Linked DNA regions of Sus scrofa. The protein of the gene in region 2 purifies or fractionates together with the protein of the main gene of each other region. This does not show direct contact. Links are inferred from orthologs where the notes say so. Each region holds a gene or a part of one and is shown on either strand. Other genes may lie near its edges.

The links. The genes of interacting proteins can lie anywhere in the genome.
Region 1: the proteins of VDAC2 (region 2) and FAM162A fractionate together in Homo sapiens (co-fractionation; 3 studies listed by BioGRID and IntAct, with this or other methods). This does not show direct contact. The link is inferred for Sus scrofa from reciprocal best matches to the Homo sapiens genes VDAC2 and FAM162A.

What each region holds. Positions count from the first base shown.
Region 1 is NC_010455.5:138,124,075-138,127,742, forward strand, and holds part of FAM162A (protein FAM162A), read right to left. Parts: intron 3,240-3,668; coding exon 3,131-3,239; intron 1-3,130. UniProt on the Homo sapiens protein: Proposed to be involved in regulation of apoptosis; the exact mechanism may differ between cell types/tissues.
Region 2 is NC_010456.5:77,779,874-77,782,873, forward strand, and holds the end of VDAC2 (voltage-dependent anion-selective channel protein 2), read left to right. Parts: intron 1-136; coding exon 137-194; intron 195-2,060; coding exon 2,061-2,152; 3' UTR 2,153-2,454; downstream 2,455-3,000. UniProt on the Homo sapiens protein: Non-selective voltage-gated ion channel that mediates the transport of anions and cations through the mitochondrion outer membrane and plasma membrane.

The DNA.
Region 1 (3,668 bases), on a different chromosome or scaffold from region 2:
AGTCTTACCAGGAGTTCCTGTCATGCTCAGTGGTTAACAAACCCGACTAATAACCATAAGGATGCAGGTTCAATCCCTGGCCTTGCTCAGTGGGTTAAGGATCCAGCATTGCCTTGAGTTGTGGCATAGGCCAGCAGCTGTAGCTCTGATTTGACCCCTAGCATGGGAACCTCCATATGCCACAGGTGTGGCCCTAAAAGACAAAGACAAAAAACAAAACAAAACAAAACAAAAAACTCAACAACAAAAAATATTTAGGGATAAACCTGACCAAGGAGGTGAAAGAATTATATACTGAGAACTATAAAACATTAACAAAAGAAACTGAAGATAATTCAAAGAAATGGAAAGATATCTCATGCTATATTGGTAAAATGGCCATACAACTCACAGGAAACTACAGATTTAATATGATCCACATCAAATTACCCATGACATTTTTCAAAGAACCTAGAACAAAGAAACCTAAAATTTTTATGGACCCACAAAAGATCCAGAATTGCCAAAGCAATCCTGAAGAAAAAGAACAAAGTTGGAGGTATATCCTTCCCAGACCTAAGACAATACTACAAAGCTACAGTAATCAAAATCAAATGATACTGGCACAAAAAGACATTTGGATCAATGGAACTGGGCAGAGAGCCCAGAAATAAACCCACACACTATGTTCAATTAATCTCCAACAAAAGAGGTAAGAATATACAATGGGGAAAAGACAGTCTCCTCAGCAAGTAATCTTGGACAGCCCCATATGTACCAATGAAGTCAGAACACACCCTCACATCACATAAAAAAATAAACTTGAAATGGCTTAAGCACTTAAATATAAGATATGACACCATAAAACTCCTAGCAGAGAATGTAGGCAAAATATTCTTATATAAACTGTACGTACCAATGTATTTTTAGGTCAGTCTCCCAAGGCCAAAGAAAGAAAAGCAAATATAAACAAATGGGACCTAATCAAACTTATAAATTCTTGCACAGCAAAGGAAATCATAAACAAAACAACGAAACAATGTAAGGACTGGGAGAAAATATTTGCAAATGATGTAACTGACAATGTCTTAATTTCCAAAATATACAAAAAGCTCATATAACTCAGTAAAAAAAAAAAAATAAACAGCCCATTCAAAAAACGGGCAAAGACCTAAATAGACATTTCTCCAATGAAAACAAGCAGATAGCCAACAGAAACATGAAAACATGCTCAACATTGCTAATTATTAGAGAAATCCAATTCAAAACTATAATAAGGTACCATCTCTGACTGGACAGAATGGCCATCATTTAAACATCTATAAATAACTAATGCTGGAGAGGGTGTGGAGAAAAGGGAACAGTCCTACACTACTGGTGGGAATGTAAATTGGTTAAGCTACTATGGAAAACAGAATGGAGGTTCCTTAAGAAACTAAATGAAAGTTACCATATGATCCAGCAATCCCACTCCTGGGCATCTAACCGGAAAAGACAAAAACTCTAATTTGAAAGGACACATGCACCCCAATGTTCACAGCTGTACTATTTACAATAGCCAAAACATGGAATCAACCTAAATGTCCACCGACAGATGAATGGATAAAGAAAATGTGCTATATAAACATAATGGAATACCATTCAGCCTTAAAAAAGAATGAAGTAATGTCATTTTTAGCAACATGGATGGACCTAGAGCTTATCACACTAAGCAAAGTCAGGCAGATGACGACAAATATCATATGATATCACTTACATGTGGAATCTAAAGAAATGATACAAAATGAACTTATTTACAAAACAGAAACAGACTCACAGACACAGAAAACAAACTTTGGTTACCAAAGGGGAAATGCAAAGGGGGGAGGGATAAATTAGGAGTTTGGCATTAACAGATACAAACTACTATATATAAAATAGATAAACAACAAGGACCTGCAGCACAGGAACTATAATCGATCTCGTGTAATAACCTCTAATAGAAAAGAATCTGAAAAAGAATACATATATATACACACATACATACACATATATAATACCTGAATCACTTTGCTGTATATCTAAAATTAACACATTGTAAATCAGCTATACTTCTTGAATTAAAAAAATAAAATTAAATTAAAAAAAAAATTCAGTTACAGGGGAGTTTCTGCTGTGATGCAGTGGGTTTATGATCCGGCTTGTCTCTGTGGAGGCATCAGTTCAATACCTGGCCCAGTATCGTAGGTTAAGGATCTGGTGTTACTGCATAGGTCATAGCTCCAGCTTGGACTTGATTCTTGGCCCAGGGATTTCCATATGCTGCAGGAGTGGCCAAAAAAGAAAAGAAAAAGAAAAAGCAGTTATGGAAGTTCCCACCATGGTACAGTGGGTTAAGAATCTGACTGCAGCAGCTTAGGTCACTTAGTAGATGCAGGTTCAATCCCCAGTCTGGCACAGTAGGTTAAAGGATCCAGTGTTGCTGCAGGTGTGGTATAGGCTTGGATTCAATCCCTGGCCCAGGAACTTGCATATACCATGGATGCAGCCATAAAATAAAAAAAAAATTTTTTTTAAAAAGGCAATTACAGGAATTCCCTTATGGTACAGTGGGTTAGGGATCCAGTTGTATCATTCCATGAGCTTGAGTTGCTGCTATGGTATGGATTCAATCCCTGGCCTGGAGCAGCTGAGAAAAAAAAATTACAAAAATAAATGTATAACAAATGTAAAAAAAATAACATGTTGCTGTGGCTCCGGCATAATTGGGCAGCAACAGCTCTGATTCCACCCCTAGCCTGGGAGCCTCCATACACTTCAGGTGCAGTTCTAAAAGAATAAAAGACAAAAAAAAAATTAAAACAACAACAACAGTGAACATCACTGTTTAGTCACATTCTGTGGCTGAAAGAGGAAATCAATCAACTTACTTCAGAGTATCTGACAGCTCTTCACCAGGTACTACATAAGATGTTAATGATAAGACAAACACTTTCCAGTACTGTTTTTATTCCAGGTATTGCCAAAGAGGTAAGTAACATTTAGAGAAACGAAACCTGTTTGAAAGTTCCATTGTAAAGTTTTAAATGATCAGCCCCAGAGGAACTGCTTTTCCTTTAAATCAGATCATTGAAAAATAAAAGCTGCTTACAACTCTAAATACGGCACTCACGATATAGTCTCTGGGATTTCATCTTCCTTTTTGAAGCGACCTGACCATATCAGGATCTTCTTCTCCCAGTCTGTAGGCTTATGCAATGGCACTCTGTGGCTATAAGTGTCTATGAGAAAAACAAGAGAAGATATCTTACTTATATAAGACTGACTCAAATTTAGCAAAAGAAATAGGCTATTTGTGCTTTTTAGCCATTCACTAAACAGAATTAGAGCTTTATTTGAGTGGAATTTCTTAGGTTGCTCATTTCTCAAATGAGATTCGAAAATTGTGTAGGAGTTCCTTTTATGGCTCAGCAGGTTACGACCTGATTAGTATCCATGAGGATGCAAGTGTGACCCCTGGCCTTGCTCAGTGGGTGAAGGATCTGGCACTGCCATGATCTGTGGTGTAGGTCACCGACGTAGCTCAGCGGACACCATGTTGCTGTGGTTGTGGCACAGGCTGTCAGCTGCACCTCCAATTTGACCCCTAGCCTGGGAATTTCATACACTACAGGTGCAGCCCTAAAAAAAAAATTCTGTGAGGACTGTAA
Region 2 (3,000 bases):
TACAGTGTTAATTTTTTATTACCTCACATGTGAAAAAAATGAATGCCTCATAATTGCATGATAGGGAAACATGTAGGGGCTTTTGCCCTGCCATTCAAAAATTTTTCTTAACATTTGCTTTTTCATTTTATTTTAGGCAAAAGTCAACAACTCTAGTTTAATTGGAGTGGGCTACACTCAGACCCTGAGGCCTGGTAAGTATTCTTGATAAAATATTTTTCTGATAGTGTTTTCAAAATTAGTTTTCATTTTTTAGCTTCTTTTGCAAACCTTTCAAGGATGCAGAAAAATTGACAGAAGGGTACAGTGAACAACACATGTTTACCTTTTTTGCCATAAATTTGTATTCCTTTCTTCTTTTTTCTTTTTCTGTCTTTCTTTTTCTTTGTGCTTTTTAGGGCCATGCCTGCAGCATATAGAAGTTCCAGGCTAGGGGTCGAATCAGAGCTACAGCTGCCACCCTACGCCACAACCACAGCAACTCGGGCTTCTTAACCCAGTGAGTGGGGCCAGGAATTGAACCCAGATCCTCATGTATACTAGTCAGGTTTGTTATTGCTGAGCCACAATGGGAACTCTTGTTCCTTTCCCTTTTTTTATATGGGCTGTTTGGAAGTTGCAGCTACCATGCCATTTCCCTAATCTTGAACATGCTTTGTCTCAGAATTAAGAACATTGTCCTGTATAACCACAGTACTGTTAGCACCCTGATAAAGGTAACATTGATTCCATATTAACTTGATATCCATTCTCTACTTAACTTTCCTTGTAATTTTTATTTCTCCAGTCATAGATCAGTCATTGCTTTGGTTTTTTGGTCTTTGTAGTCTCATTTACTTTACATAGTTTTTTTTTCTTTTTAGGGTCATACCTGAGGCATATGGAGGTTCCCAGGCTAGGGGTTGAGACATCAGAGCTACAGCTGCCGGTCTACACCACAGCCACAGCAATGCAGGATCTGAGCCGAGTCTGTGACCTACACCACTGCTCACAGTAATGCCAGAACGTTAACTCACTGAGCAAAGCCAGGGATCGAATCCACAACCTCATGGTTGGTTACTAGTCGAATTCATCTCCTTTGTGCCACAACAGGAACTCCTTTACATAGTATTTTGAGCCTTGCTGTTTTCTAGGGCAGTACTTTTCAGATATCAGTGTGTGCATGAATCACCTTGGGAATCTTACTCTAATCACATAGGTATATGGTGAGGGGTTCTGTCTTTTTTTTTTTGGCTCCACTCAATGACAAATGGAAGTTCACAGGTCAGGGATTGAACCTGCACCACACCACCCACGGTGCCACAAGAGAATTCCAGGAGGGTTCTGTCTTTCTAATAAGCTCTTAGGTGATGCCAGTATGGCTGGTGCTTGAACCATTTGAATAGCCAGATTCTAAAGCACTTAGAACTTTTTCCCCAGACTTTTTGACTATTTTGAAACCTAAAGAAAAGAGTGGTACCACGAACACCCATATACCTTCCCAGTTACTAACATTTACTATGTTTATGTCTCTATGTATATGTAGTCTTTTTCTTTTCCCTCTACATATATCCTTATGAATTATTTAAATATGTTCTGCAGCACATGGACACATCAGCCTTAGTCCGGGGAGGAAGATGTTTTAAACTACATTATTACTACAGGGCTGTTTTTATAGCTAAGGAAATTAATAATTTAAAATAACACCTAATATATAGTCTGTATTTGGATTTCCCCGCTTGTCCTCAAAATGTCTCTTTATTGTAGTTTTTCCTTTTCAGGATCCAGTTATGATTGTCCTTTAGTCTGGATAATGTATTGAACATTATTGTCTTTTCTAAAGCTGTCTGAGCTTTATTATTAACATTTTAATGCTGTCACTTGATGGCTTTTCTTAGGATGGTGCCAACTGAATTCCCTCTTGTATCTCAGATACTCCCGAGTGCCCTCTGGTGGCTGGCACTAGTAGGTCATCTGACAGGCTGAGAAGTGACAGGCAGGCTGTGACATGATTATTTAAAAAGAAGATTGCAGACTCGTGAGGTTTCAGGCACATGATGGTTGTCTGCTTTTGTTTACAGGTGTGAAGCTGACACTGTCTGCTCTGGTAGATGGGAAGAGCATTAATGCTGGAGGCCACAAACTTGGGCTTGCCCTGGAGTTGGAGGCTTAATCCAGCTGAAAGAAACCTCTGGGAATGGATATCAGATTTGGCCTTAATATATTTCCAGTGTGACCAGCAGGCTTCCCCACCCCCACCCCCCCAAAAAGGTGATCAAAACAAAGGATGATCTAAACAAGAGCTGTATTTTAAATATTTAGACAGTTACTTGTTAGCTGGTTTCTAGTTGAATTGGTTATCTATCTAGTTATCAATGCTGCAGTCGTGCAGTCACCTATACATTATTTAAATGTATTTAACTGTTAAATGCGCTGCCCACCAATAATGAAATAGACCTTTATGAAAACTGTGCAGTTGGTGTGCATGTTTGTTTTTATGTTCCTTTTAACATTTAATATTGCCATTGAATGAGATGGATAAGTGGATATTTTAAGATGAGGTTAAAATTTTTTGTTAAATTCAACCATCATTAGAATTACTTTTGGTATCCCCAGACATAAATTATGAATAAAACAAGTATATATAATTAATGACTCCAAGTATTTGCAGAGTTAAAAACTTGTCACGTAGGGTCAAATCTTCCTGGTATCTAGCTAGTGCTTTATTTTCCAATGAGCATTTTGCTCTTTATAATGTCCTCTGTCCCAAGAGTAACTCAGTGATATTTTTAGACAATAAGATAAATGCATTTAATATCTTTATTTTATAAATTAATGCAAAATTGCATTGGCTCATTAAGTCCAGGAAAGGTTAGCATGTAAGTGACAAAAAGAGGGAAAGGAGGTGGTGCTAAAGTTTGTATACACACACCATATCCCTTCAAGCTGTTGCTATGGGAATGATCCAGGCCCTAGTTCTGTGGGATGGGACTAGGTGTAGGGCAGTGGACTTAGGTGTAG